2 linked regions of the Caenorhabditis elegans genome follow. The protein of the gene in region 2 interacts with the protein of the main gene of each other region in a pairwise test. Each region holds a gene or a part of one and is shown on either strand. Other genes may lie near its edges.

Region 1 (6,617 bases), about 14 Mb from region 2:
TCGTTCAGAACTCTATATATAGATTGGCAAAATTTTCTTGTTTGAAAATATCATTTCCTAAGCCTGAAAATTCAAATGAATGTCACTTTCAATCGATAAAAAAAATTAATTCTACAAATGTGAGGCTATATTGCAATGGTTTTTAATCGCATCCAAATTTACCACACTCTACCGTCAATAATTTTTTAAAATTTAATATATCGGTTTCATTTAGTATCCGAAATAATTTACTCATAAAGTTGAACTATCTCGGCTTTTCTTTTTCAGATTTTGGATTTTCGAGTTGTCTAAGTTACAATAAACTCTACTTATTTTTTCCACGTTTCGGCCAGAATTGCAGTAAAAAGGAGTGATACTAAATAAAAAATTCACTAAATAATTGTTCAAATGTGCAAAAATTCCAGACATTCCTAAAAGCTTCACAACTTCTTTTTCTCACTACAGCCTAGAATCGATATTCCTCTCCCTCTCCACCACAACCTCGTTGCCTAGCCTTCTCGAACAAACGTGGTGACTACGAAAGCACAGCAAATGCGCTGCACTGACACCCCGCCGATCTCTGGGGTCTCTTGGTTTTGAACGATATCTCCCATTCGTTTGTCCATCGACAATGGTACTCTAAAATTCATGGAGGTCTACCAATCCAATTTTTTTGCTACCGAACTTCATCTTACTAATTTCAAACTTTTCCTAGAGTTTTGAGACTTCATCAGCATTTTTATGCTTTCATTTCATATTCCAAGAAACTGAATTAAAAATCAAATTCTAGAACCTTCTCACAACATGCCGCCAGGAGGATCATCCGATAGATTTTGCGGAGCCGATTTTTTTGATGAGTACGAAGTAAGTGTTTTCAGTAGGGTAATGAAAAAAATGTTGCGAAATTTTCGGAGAATTCATTAGTAGTAAACATGAGTCATTGAGCATAACCTAGTGAGCCAAAAAACATTAATTTTTGTTTAGGAATTTGTTAAATAAAAAACTAGAAAATTGACATTGAACATTGGAATCGGTGTAAAAACTAAACATAACTATGTAATTTTGGTCAGTGCAAGCAGATATTTCTCTGTTTTAGAAAAAAAATCCAGTTGAAACAATTGCCAATTGGCAAAATTTTGGTCAGTGCTATTTTTCTTGTCAAAGCATTTTTTGGCTTAAAGCAGACAAAATTAAATGAGTAGTACGGTAAATTAAAACTGAGTTAGTGTTTTCAAAATGGACGAGAATTATAGCCATTTGGTCAGTGCGATCGTTTTTCATTTGTGCAAATCTTAAAAATTTGAACCTTTTCAAGCTAAAAATTACAAAATCTGAAAATTTTGAGAAATTCTCAACTTTCAGCCCTGCTCCCTTTCCCCGGAAGAAATCCAGCGACGCCGTGCCCAACAAGACTCCCTCCGGCTTTTCCAGGACACGTTGGAGCAGGTCCGCCAGCTCGCAGAGCAACTCCAGGAGCAGTTCCGACAGGCGACGGAGCAAACCGCACGGATCCGAGAGGAGCAGAAAAAGATCCGACGAGCTATCCGAAGACAGAAAAAGTTGACTCAGAAGCGGCGAAAAATGCTCGTAGAACGTGAGGTGAAGCGGAGACGGGTCGCGAAGATGTTCTTTGCCTGCAGGTGAATTTTGAAATTGGCGTGAAAATTTGATACCTACTTGGACATTAATTTCTATTAATTTCTATTAATTTTGGAAATCAATAGTTTCTAAATACGTTTTTCCGAAATTGGGTCCCAGAAAAAAACCACTTTTTTCCAAAGTTTCACCTCAAACCTCCGTCTGATAAAATGATAGTTATGCTCCGAATGCTCCAAATAATCTTCATCAACGTGTGACACTATACGAAATGTTTCGAAATGTTAATGCCTTTTTTTCGACCATTTTTGTTATGGGCTCCTGTTATCTTATTAATCAGTTCCTCAGTAACTACAGTAATCCTAGTTAACTACAAAGTACGAAGTACAAACTACAACATTTTCAGAGAACGCCGCCAAGCCTTCCCAGACCTGGCTAAGCAGTATCTCCAGAGCATCAGCTGAGCCATCTGGCATTATCATAATTATTATCTCAAATCTCTGTAAAATTGTATTATTATATGTAGCACAACCCCTGGCTAGTCAAGCCCCCCACCGCAATATATTTATATATTTTTGAAATTTTTGAAATTTTTGACTATAGAATTTGGAATCCTAAATGTAAATTTTTTGAGCACTGATGAATTTATTTCTATTTAGATAAAATCAGCGATCAAAAAGAAAAAAACAATAGAAAAAAGGCAAAAATAATAAAGCGAATTTGAAATTATCAAGGCAAAATTAGTTAACACATGTTCAGGGGGGATAGGTTTTCAGACAAAAAATGCACTAGTTGACTGGAAGGGGAAACATTACCAGTGGTGTAGGGATTGGAAGAGGATCTGGTTTTTTGCTACGTGGTGTTGAAAGGAAGTTAAGGAAAATTTTCCAGCCAATTTCGAGTTATTGGACTTTGAAGCGCAAGAGGCTCTGCGAGCAACTCTCAAAATATAGGAAATTTCAAGTTTCACAACTAAGTAACAAAATAACTTGCCAGCAAGTAAACGGGGGGAACAGATGAAAGCTCAGCTTTGGGGGGAAGGGAGAGAGATGGAATAGAATTATGTACGGTTTGATGCTTGTTTTACACTGGGAGACTAGATTGGGATCAATGAAGGGGGGGGGGGGGGGGGGGTCACTGGAATGATGGGGGGAGAATGCCGTGGAATAAATATGAGGATCCTAGGTGTCTAAATTATTGATTGGTTAATTGATGAAGCTGCAGGTTACTTGTTGAAGTTCTCGAGGATGTGGCGTTGGGGCATGCGTTGCTCTTTCATCGGGCCTCTGAAATTACAAATCGTTGAGAAACACTAAGGGTTTTATTCTGACTCACTTATTCCTGAGAAGCTGCTCCAAGGTGTCCTGGTCCCGACGTCTGGCGTCACGCTCGGACTGGAGGAGCCCTTCAAGCTCGGCGATGCGCCTCTTCATCTTGTCGTGCTCGGCTTCCTTCTTGTCCTGGAGCTCCTTTGCCTTTTTACGCGATTTTCTGACGGCATCATTGTTCCGGGCTCTTTTCAATTTGTAGGTCGGCTCAGCCTTCTCCTCGTCTGCCTTGAGTTTGTACTTTCTTGCTCTGGTCTGTGGCTTGAAGTTTTCCAGTCCGGCGGATTTAGTTTTCTTGCTCTTTGGCTCAAAGTAGGAGTCGTCAACGCTTCCGTCGTTATCCGTCATATCGCTGGACTCCTCCGAGTATTCCTTCTGGTAATCGTCATAAGGAACTGGGCGTTTGACAGCTCGGCGGGTCTTGGTAGCTCCGAAATCCGGTGTCTCAGCTTTCACTTCACAATTCATCTTGTACCCATCCTGATCATAATCCCCAGGCACTCGATAGCCAGTGCCGTACGCCACGTGGCGCTCATATCCGTTCAGCTCCGGTTGTTCGTAAGGATGCTCTCCGTCGTAAAGGATGTTGCACTTTTGGAGCTCGGCATCATCAAAATCCACATTGTCGGTAGGAACGTCAAGATCGTGGAGCACTTGCAGGTAGTCGCCAAGGTCCAGCTCAGTTTCCATAAAGTCCACTGGATGGCGTTCGCGGTCACGTTGCTGGAGGGATGCGGCAATGGTAAGAGAGTCCTGAAAATATCGATGACTAAGAGTGAGCAAGAGCACTTTATCCACTTACTTGTCTTGCGAAGGATCCGGCGGAGGAGGTGGAAGCTCCGTTGTTCGGCATGTCAGTGAACCCACGTACCTCGGATTGCTGGAGTCTTACCAGGTGTGGATGCTTGAGGGCCTGGTCGCCCTTTTGGTGGCTGTAGTTCAGCTTGCTATACATTTTCTTTATTCTGAAAAAAATACACTAAACTTAAAGAGAAGTTAAAGAGAAATAAGAGCAAACAGTTTGCGAAAAGGTTTCGAATGTTCTCGGTGAGAGGCGATGAGAAATAAAAAGAGAAACAGAGAAAGCAAGGAGGAAAAATGAGAAAAGTGAAATGATGACGTCATTGCCGCCGAATTTAGCAACCAGCTGCATAAGGGTGAGCAAGCGCTATGGGACACACCCAGAAGGTTATCAGTAGTTATCAAATGGGAGTGTGAATAAAATAAACTAAAAAGGTTACATTTCTTACAGATTTTAGAAACGATAACTCAAACTTTTAGACTTGCTCCAACACTAGAAAATGGATAAAAAATAGATATTTAAATTGTCTATAAAGTTGAAAAATTGTCAGAAAGGAAATCGACATCACAAATGACTATGTAACTGCTAATTTAAGAAGAAGGATTATCAACATAGAAATCGGCTTCTAACACTACAAAATACTCAAACCAGCTCGAGGAGCCCTCCACCAGACCCAACCGTCTCCGGATTGCGAAATGACAAACCCCGACACTTTTTTCCACGTCGACTTATAGCCATGGGCGGGGCGAGTTGTGTACAATTAGACTCCAAGGAGATGGATGAATACCGACGCTAGGAGGCAGGGCGCAAAGTATTGCGAAATCGGCGGCAATGTTGTGTTGTGAGAAGAGAGGAGGGGACAGGAGACGCAGAGCTTGCGATGAGTCACAACGCCGCCTCTGCGTCTCTTCCCGCTGCACACTATGCGGGGCGAGAGGAATGGGAGAAGCGCGAGTGGTTTTGTTGTTTGCTGGGAAAGACGCAGAGAAACCGAGGGAACTGGACTGTGAGTCATACATGTCATGCATACTGCAAAGTCATGAAAAACTGTCGTGGGGGAAAATGGAGATTGTAGGAGAGAGAGAGAAAAAAGAACAAACTAAATAGAATTGTTCCAAATTTGAACATGGTGCATCGGCTACACACTTCGACTGGTAGCCATAAAATAATCATTTTTAGTTAAAAAACTATAAAACAAATACTATGTTAGTTGGCAAATTGTTATAAATTCATTCAACATCTGTTCAGTTAGAAGGTAACGGCTCAACAAAAACTATTGCTCATCGTGCATCGATTGGGATCACAGTTCCCATTCTAGATCCTTGCTGGTAAATATTCCTATTTTTTTGAAAAACTATAAATTTTCAACTTCAAACCGCTAGAAAACGTAATAATAAGAATTTTTTCAATTGAAAATTTTCTGAAAATCTCAAAAACAACCAAGTTATAAGCTGTTCAAGTTAGAGTGCAATACTAAAGTGATTTTAATACATGGTGCATCGACAAGAATCATATGAACTTGACAGTCCATGTGTTGGCACGATTTTAGTTCTAAACTTATTTTTGACTACAAAATTCGAAAAATGTGATAAAAAAGTATTTTGTCAATTGTTGACAATTTATTACCGAAATCAAAAACAACCAAAATATTGTTTTCAAGGTATAAATTTATTCTTTACTACAAAATTATAGAAAATGTGACAAAAACAAATACAAGTTTCTCAAGTTAGAGAGCTATACTGAAAGAGTAATAACTAAACATGGTGCATCGATAAAAATCATATGACTTTGATAGTCTATATCAGGGCTGGGCGGCAATTGCCGTTCGGTAAATTGATTTGTCGACAAATTCGGCAAATCGGCAAATCGGCAAACCGGCTATTAGCCGATTTGCCGGAAATTTCCAATTCCGGCGATATGCCGGTTTGCCGATTTGCCGGAAATTTTAATTTACGGCAAGTTGCCGACTTGCCGATTTGCCGGATACCAGATTTGCCTGAAATGTTTAAAGGGGTTTTTTATAAGACGGAAGCACTTAACACTGTCTATTTTCGAATTTTTCTCGTTTTTTCTACATATTTTTTATAGAATATGCGTACTTCTCAAAATAGATATAGGAAAATTCATATGATGCGTTTAATTTTGCCATTTGAAATTGAAATTCCAAAAAATAAGTGCAAAACCACAATTTGCCGAAAATTTTTGGCAAATTACCGATTTGTCGGCAAATTCGGCAAATCGGCAATTTGCCGGTTTGCCGGAAATTTTAAATTCCGGCAAATTGCTGATTTGCCGAAAATTTCAATTCCGGCAATTTGCCGATTTTCCGATTTGCCGGAAAAAATCGTTTGCCCCCCACCCCTGGTCTATATGTCGGTATATTTGGAATATGTACGATAATTTTCTGATTCAAAAAATAAAGAAAACCTGCTAATACACATATTTATAGTCAGATAACTATTATAAACCTAGAAATTTTTTAACCATTAGTTGTTCCAGTTTAAAGTAAAAATTGAACATGTTGCATCGAATGGGAATTTGGAAAACGTTTTAAAAAAATTCATTATTTTTCAGCAGAAAAAATATATCAAAAATAAATTTTAAAATCTTGTCAGTTAAAATTTCAAAAAAAAAAAATTAACTTTCGAATCCTCAACAAACTGAAAAAAACACATCACAACCTTCGCGCCCAAAACAAAGAAAAATCACATTTCTGATTTCGAGTGCGAGGAACGCGATCTAATTCGATCAAGAACCCCCAATCGGCGCCTACGCCTCTCGATTTACGAACAAAAATCAATAGCTAGCATATATGTCATATGCCTAGAAAATGATGACAAACCCGTGTAATATAAGCGGGGAGAAAACTTTGTTTGCTAAGGGTAAGATGACAATTGCAATTGAAAACACTA
Region 2 (8,282 bases):
AGTTGTCAAAGAGATAGAGACACTGGCAAACGACATTCAGGAGAAGGACGCGGAAACTGTCACTCAACTGCAGGTTTTGAAGGAATCGTTTGGTGGCGCTTGGGAAAAGGCTCGCAAGTGCTTGGGCACCAAGTCGGCTTTGTCATCGGATGACAGAAACATTCGAAGACTCCAGGAAAAACTTGAAGAAGCGGAAAAGGAAAATGCAAAATTGCGTAGTCTATTGGAAAAGGAAAAGGCCAAGAACCGTTCGGACGATGGGAAGCACAGCTCAAAGTACTTGAAAAAGGATAAAGGTCGCGATAAGGATGAGGAAGACGAGCGTCGCGAACGCAAGCACAAAGTCAAGGACCGAGACGAGGCTTCGTCCTCCTCCTCCTCCCATTCTTTTTCAGCCAAGCGTAAGCATTGACTGTCTTTAGCTTGAATGTTCTCAAAACAAGTTTCGAAACAAAAAAAAATATTTGTTCCCATTCCATTTCATTTCTTAGGCATAAAATGAAAGTTCATTCACCGCTTTAATAAAATAACAATTGTGGTTGTTCAAAGCTTTATATTGCCATCTCTGTTGCACCATGTCACATCTCCACCCGATTCAACTGTTTCAGGAATTGCATTGTTTTCTTCGTATCTCTTCATCATTCATCCTGTGTTTTGTTTAAATATCACCTATTTTCACCTTTATTTTATTATCCTTTAAAAATTATTTTGAATGTTAACCATAAAAATAATGAATTTATAATATCAAATTACTTTTTGATGAATTAAATTTTGACGAGATCTCGGGCGCTGTATGTAATGCCATTATTTTTTTGATGCTTCGAAAAATATTTCAGTGTGTAGAAAAAAGTGAGAGCAACAGCTTGTTAGTTAAGCTTTTTTCCGAAATTTTCATTTTCAGAGTTATATATACTAATTTTGATTGAAAAAAACACTGAAAAACCAAAAACGCACATATTTTTGGCCGACACTGTATTTATAAAAGTTGGTTTGCTTTGTGACTACATTTAAGGGGTGGGCGACAATCGTTTCCGGCAAATGGGCAAATCGGCAAATTGCCAGAATTGAAATTTCCGGCAAATCGGCAAATTGCCAGAATTGAAATTTTCAACATATCGGCAAACCGGCAAATTGTCAATTTGCCGAATTTGCCGGAAAAAAAGCAATTTGACGAACAATTTTCGGCAAATTGTAATTTCGCACTAACTTTTTTGGAAATTTTAGAATTACAATTTCAAATAGCAAAATTGTACGCATCCTATAAATATTATTCTATTTTGAATTATTATTTTTTGAAAAGTAAGCAGTTTCTAAGAAAATATGCAGACAAAACTAAAAAAATTCAAAAAAGACACAGTTTTAAGTTTTTCCGTCTTACAAAAAATACCATTAAAATTTCTGGCAAATTTGATATCCGGCAAACGGCAAATCGGCAACTTGCCGAAATTGAAAATTTCCGGCAAATCGGCAAACCGGCAAATTGCCTATTTGCCAAATTTGTACATTTCCTTCCAGACCCAAAATGATCTATTTTTGAACATGTGCCGTCTAAATGATTCAGAATTCCGCAAGTATGCTTTAAGCTAGACAATTCAAATTTTTAAAATTGCTAGCTAAGTTATCTTGTAACTTGTACTACTGAAAATGTTCAATTTCTTGAAACGGAAAAAAAGTTACCTAGGTACCCTCATTAATCCAAAAAACCCTTTCTATATTTCTCGTAAACAGTGCCCATGATTTCTAATTCTAGCAGTCAACAACTTTCATTTTTATTTTCAATTTCCAATGTTGCATGACTTTTTCAAATTACCAACTTGCACGTGAGACGTGTCTGTTGCGAAATCGAACTTTCTGCTTGCAATGAATTCTGCTCACTTTTCAATGATAAAGTTCTTATCTCGAATGCAATTCTATTTCGTCGTTTGTGACCCAATGTTTATTGATAATTCACAGGCTTATCGGTTTTGTAAAAGAGTTTTGTGAATATGTATATTATAGCAGTGCTACAGTATCGAAACTTCTTGCGAAAGTTTGAATGCTGACTGGGAGGAGACAGGGAGGAATACACATTGGCAGACCTTATATGAGATAAGAGTAGTTACATGAAGTTGGAGATTGAAACAAAAAACAGACATGATGATAAATAAAACACCCATAGAGGTAGTTTGTCGACCTTGAATTACATTACAGATTTTCTAAAATATTCGGAATTTTGAAAGTTGGTAGAATAAGAATTTCTGACGAGTTAATTACAAGGATGCGAGAGAACATACAGAAAGTTGGAAAGTACATAAAGAAAGCTAGCTATCTATTTACATGTTCTATTTAGGAGGGCGATATGTCAAGTCCCTTGAACACCGGAGGTGGATATGATTTCGGAACGGTCCCTTTCATAACAGTTGGAAACGCCAGCGAATTGGCGTCGGACAGAAGCTTGTAGACGACTTTATCAACTGGCTGCTGGCTTGGGTGATAATGTTCGCTAATTGGGTAAATGTCACCGGGAAGCAGTAGCTCTTTCGATATATCACTGCATTTCAGTTGGACCAGTCTTGGAGCACGATGTTGCTTTTGGGCTTGGCTTACTTCCTTCTCGAAGAATAGTTGGTTGATCTGTTGCAGGCGAACTTGCATCACTAATGTTTGATATTCAGTTGGTTTCGTTTCAATTCGACGTTTCATCTGCTCTTGAATTGAGCGAAAATCTCTCTTTGCCATTTCGGTGAGAATTGTTGAATCATTTCTGCAAGCCTTCATTTCTTCATACATTGGGAGTACGTTTTTCGGAAGAAGTCGATCTTTATAGGTGTTGTAGTACATCTCGAACAGGTCCATCTTCACAATCATATCCTGTTTCTTCAGGATTATGTTGGAACGACATCTAATTTCCGGGAAATCTCCATTCACTTGATTCCACAGATCTTCGAGATTCATTCGGGTTGCTGGTGCTTTTTTTAGCAGCATGTTCACAATGTTTCTACCTAAAATAGGCGCGGAGTTTAAACCATTTCAATTTTTTCACTTTGACCTACTTTTGGAGGATATAAAATTAAACGGCCAGCGATGTTGTTTGAATTTGATGGTACGGAACAACAGTGGCATACTATTCTCATGGAATGGATACTTTCCAGTTAGCAATATGTACAGTAAGACACCAAGTCCCCAAAGCTCGGTGCTATAGCTATGATGTGTTCTCGACTCGGCAGTGAGCATCTGAAATTTTATGTTTTTTAATGTGGAACAATATTTGAACTGCAAACCTCCGGAGCCATGAATGGAACGCAAACTGATCTACGAGTAAATTGCGCTTCGGACTGATCTTCCTCACAGCTCATGTCTTGAAGGAAGCACGGACGAACAACCCATTTGTTATGTGCATCTTTCTTTAGGTAGAAGCTTCTAGGCTTGAAGTTTTGGAGAATCACTTTTCTCGAATGACAAAATCGAACAATCTCCACAACCTTTTGGTAGATACTCATCACGTCGTTTTCAGTTATTTCATCAAGACGCTCGGTGGCGTAGGAGTGAATTGTAGCCGATTCGCACGGATTCATAAGAATGTATCTGTCGTTACTCTTGATAATTTCCATTCTCTTTGATATGCAGAGTTCGCTGAATTATTCAAAGATTGTATCAACTTTCTGACTTTATGACGTCAGCGTCCCGATTCTGACTTTTACTTTTTAAATGATTTCATAATCCCCCCTTTGTTTCATCATATGAGCATTTTTTTTGACTCACCTTAAACGGATTTCATCAGCGGTCATGGATGAGATGTCGGTGGGGATTTGAAGTCGTCGAATGACGTCAATCACTTTCGACGCTTTCCATTCAGGAAGCACGTGAGCGGTAAACATTTCGCGAGTTTGTGAGCAAACAGCGCGAGTAACAAGACCAGTTCCATAAATGACAAAGATTCCGATAATTTCACCGTTAACCTTAACATTGATTCTTTTGAATGAGAAGATTTCAAATTTTAATTTCAACTCACCAAGTGTTGGGCACTATATGGGTTCACATGTGGTGCGGAGCTGGATGTAGCTGAAAACTGCTTCGACTTCTCCTCTTCCTCGAGTTCCTGGATCAAACGCAAGTACTCATTCTCATTCAACATTGTTGGTATGCGTTGTTCTGCTGGATGATCTCCATTGTTATATAGATCCGCAGCCGGAACCATAGATCCACGTGTCAGTTGCACGTAGTGATCATTCAACGCTTTGATGATGTGCGGGGGTAGACGACCCAGTGGACGAAGTTCAAGTGTTTTTGCAGGTCCGATTGAAGAATAGCAGATTGGAAGCGTCGTGCCAAAATTCTTTGGATCAATCTTCGGAGCATTGCGAACTCTATAGTGGTACTCTGCTTTGACATTTGGGAAGACGACATTCTTCTTGGCTAGAACATCGTAAAACACCCTTGGACGACTTGAGGTATTTCCAACAAAAGGAAGAGTTGTGGGCCTCCTTCTTGAAACGGCATCCTGACGAACTGGTTCAGAAAGATCTTTTGCGGTTTTTCTGACTCCAGTTCTAGGATTGGCTACGGTTTTGGTTTTGCATTTTGTACGAGCCATACCCTGAAAAACAAAAAAAATAATGTTTAGGGAACATTGTTACAAAAGGAGAAGAAGCAAATGAGATAAAGTTGGTAGACTACAGACAAGAAAATGCAAAGAATGATAACCCTAGAATTGGTAAGAATGAAGGGGTGTTATTGCGAAACATTACTGGCTGCGAGGGTTTCACAATGAATTTTCCGTTTTTTTTTTTTTTAATATTTCGCAATACTACATTGTAGATGACTAGAGGGAGGACCGCCCTTCTTCACATATCACAGAAACGACGAGAGGAATCGGAAGAGAGCGCGTGGCGATGAGAGAAGCTCGTGCATCAGCAGGTATTGCGAAATATCATCGCGGCACTACGATCAACACAAGTGTCAGAGAAGGAAACTACGGGGACCGAAACGAGAGATAGAGAATGAGTGGGTAGATGGTCGAATAGTGATAAAATCAAATGTCTCGAGAACTGTAAGACTGTTCACAAACGAGTTGTAACCGATTAGGGGAGCCATGGTTGGAAATTGAAGTCATAATTTGCAATTTGATTAGGCTATTAAGCATATTTAATATTATAGTATTTTACTCTGTTCTGAAGATGAATTTGAAGAGCAAAACAAGAAGCAGGAGGAAATAATTGTTTTTTCCATGTCTTAGGCATCTACGTATATGAAAAAGAAAAAGCATGATCTCTTTGGAACAAGGAAAAAGATAGCTGGCTCAACACCAATGACAGATGAATAAGGAGAAAAGCTAGAGCCCACACACACGTGCGCATTCACTCGTCATTTCACTCTTCTCTCTTTTTGTCTCTCTACGTGTTTTTTTCTTCATCTCCAATCCGTCTCCTACGCGGCACATAAGGCGAGAGTCAGACAGCACAGTACAGCGCACACCGAGAGCGAGACGTTAGAGACACGCAGTAGAGACCAGTTCCGTTGCAAGCGTCGCGGTCGATAGTACGCGACGCGTCGTTTCTCAGAGAAGACAGAGATAGAGGAATGGAGGGGCCCCCGTTTTTGTCCAGTGTCTCTTTCCTCGTGATATTCCATTGCGTAGCACTCCTCGTACAACTGCTCCTCTCTCTCTCTCCGACATTGCCTCTTTTAGCTTTCTGGAGGCCAATGGATTCTCTATTGCTTTTGGACGTGGCGTTCATCTTTCTCTATCCCAACTACTTCCACATTTGTCTCTCTCTCCCCGTCGGTTTTCCCCTACTTCCAACTAATGACAACTTGGCAGTCAGTCTCTAATAGCCACTTTCTTTTGTGTGGTCTATCTATTCTCATTGCTACTTTTTTGTATCCTTTTTTCTGAAACGAATAACCAAAATATAATCCGCAACTTTCAGGTAACAAAAACACATAAAAATGACGGCTGCTCCTTACAATTATTCGTATATTTTCAAATATATTATTATTGGTGATATGGGTGTCGGAAAATCGTGTCTTCTTCATCAGTTCACAGAAAAGAAGTGTAAGTCCCGCATTCCTGGAAAATCGATATATCATGTTGTTTGTGTCAACATTAGTCATCAACAAGAGACCTGTTCCTCCGGTCAATAACCACCGTACAATCACTGCGGGCAACAAACGCAAAAACTAACTATAACTAACTTTCAGTCATGGCCGACTGCCCGCACACAATCGGCGTGGAATTCGGCACCAGGATTATTGAGGTCAGCGGACAGAAGATCAAGCTTCAAATCTGGGACACGGCGGGCCAGGAGCGATTCCGCGCTGTGACGCGATCATATTATCGTGGAGCAGCCGGAGCCTTGATGGTCTACGACATCACTCGCCGTTCTACCTACAATCATTTGAGCAGCTGGTTGGCCGACGCAAAAAGCTTGACCAATCCAAATACGGTAGGTAAAATATATACTTGGTTTATAATTTTTACTCAAAAGTAGGGTTGAAAAATATATAAAAACTCGAATTTATACTTTATAAAAGCATTCCCAAGTTCCAAAATTAAAGCGAATTTGAACTTTCAGCAAAATTTCAAAACTACATAGATGTACGCCATGTTTAGTAAATTGCAATTTATGAATTTTTGCAAGCATAACATTTATTTGCAGCTCAAAAGATCGTAGACTATAAACTGAATTTCAATCAAAATTCTCATGAATCAGATTTAAGCTGGAAAACATTCAATCTGTATGTGCTCTAAATTGTGTGTTTTATCGTTAAACTAATATCTAAAAAAAACGAGTTAAAATTGGGTTATCTAGTTTTATTTGGAGAGTTAAAAATCTACCTGTATTAGTAAGAAAACAGTATTTCGTCCACTTTGCACTGATTTAATTTTACAATAAAAATGAGATTCAAGCACCAATTCTCACAAGTTCCTTTTTCAGGCCATCTTTCTTATCGGAAACAAAGCCGACCTCGAAGATCAACGTGACGTGCCATACGAGGAAGCAAAAGCTTTCGCCGAAGAAAACGGGCTCACTTTCTTGGAGTGCAGTGCGAAGACGTAAGTTTCTTCCCCCCACCCCCCCACTGCAAATTCATCAATTTCAAATGGCTTTTTTTTCAGTGGCAGTAACGTCGAAGACGCTTTCCTCGAAACGGCCAAGCAAATCTATCAGAATATCCAAGACGGAAGTTTGGACTTGAACGCCGCCGACACTGGCGTCCAGCCAAAACAGAACTTGCCACGTGCAGCTGAAAATAATGGGAAGAAGGACTGCAACTGCTAGTTGATGTGTGCAAAGTCCCTTCTTCCCCTCAAATCATTCCCAATTGATTTTAATGTATTTTTTTAAATTATTACTTTCTAATCCGTCTATCTGTATGTGAGAGCTTGTCACCCATTATCATTAAAATGCCAGAAGAATCAACATTGGGTGGTATGGTTTCTTGTTTCCAAATTCTAGTTGCCTGTCAAAATCTAAACTTGTAATCACTATAAAACTACTCTGAAATTCAGAACTTTGTGTCACTTTTACTTACCAATTCCCAGTCTTTTTCAGTCCCCCACCCATTACTCACTATCATCATCGAACTGTGAACCGTTCATAATATAACACTTTCGCTCACCCAACCAACTGCATATTTAGTAGATTTTTTCTGTCAAAAACCGTTTTGAACATTTTTCCCCCATTCCTTGTGTGATAAGAAACATCTATATGATCCCACCCCATTAAGTGCTATAATTGTGCTTTGAAAATCAAAAAAACTAACGATTTTTGTCATTTTTGTCACTTTTCCTTATAAATAGTTCTCTGTTGTTAGTTTTATGAACCTATGATTTCAGAAAACTTTTTCAAAATTTATTTTTTTTGTTTAATCATTTTTCAGCAAAATTCAATTGTACATATAATATTTAAAAAAACTATTCATTGAAGCATGAAGTGCTCAATCTTCAAAGTTAACATCACCAGTAATAGTCAAATGTGTTTTCAAGTGTGCGTAAATTTTTCTAATGACAGAGTAATCCGTGGCTGAAATGGGATTCTAGTCACGGGTGGGCAGCAAACGATTGTTTCCGGCAAATCGGCAAATCGGCAGATTGCAGGAATTGCAGATTTCCGGCAAATCGGCTAATCGGCAAATTGCCGATTCGCCAAATTTGCTGGAAAAAAAGAAACTTGCCAAAAAATTTCTGCAAATTGTGGTTTCGCACTTATTTTTTTGGAAATTTTAGAATTCCAATTTCAAATGACAAAATTTTACGCATCCTATGAATATTCCTACATCTATTTCGAAAAGTAAGCAAA

What was found. Proteins that work in one complex are often made in the same cells at the same time.
Region 1: the proteins of nipi-3 (region 2) and cebp-1 interact in a two-hybrid assay, tested with the Caenorhabditis elegans proteins (one study listed by BioGRID).

Annotation. Positions count from the first base shown.
Region 1 is NC_003284.9:1,450,001-1,456,617, forward strand, and holds cebp-1 (CCAAT/enhancer-binding protein homolog 1), read right to left. Parts: upstream 3,869-6,617; 5' UTR 3,859-3,868; coding exon 3,706-3,858; intron 3,657-3,705; coding exon 2,911-3,656; intron 2,862-2,910; coding exon 2,801-2,861; 3' UTR 2,695-2,800; downstream 1-2,694. Other genes in the region: W05H7.1 (uncharacterized protein), read left to right, coding at 784-843, 1,342-1,619, 1,982-2,039. UniProt on the Caenorhabditis elegans protein: Transcription factor. Binds to promoter regions of target genes, perhaps at the motif 5'-[AGCT]TT[AGT][TC]GAAA[ACT]-3'.
Region 2 is NC_003284.9:15,604,263-15,612,544, reverse strand, and holds nipi-3 (Protein nipi-3), read right to left. Parts: upstream 4,577-8,282; 5' UTR 4,574-4,576; coding exon 3,992-4,573; intron 3,939-3,991; coding exon 3,742-3,938; intron 3,613-3,741; coding exon 3,261-3,612; intron 3,214-3,260; coding exon 3,033-3,213; intron 2,982-3,032; coding exon 2,326-2,981; 3' UTR 1,922-2,325; downstream 1-1,921. Other genes in the region: K09E9.3 (Transcription initiation factor TFIID subunit 5), read left to right, coding at 1-412; Ras-related protein Rab-14, read left to right, coding at 5,929-6,034, 6,181-6,425, 6,918-7,036, 7,100-7,262. UniProt on the Caenorhabditis elegans protein: Adapter protein that regulates different signaling pathways. Required for larval development and viability. Involved in negatively modulating pmk-1 p38/MAPK signaling.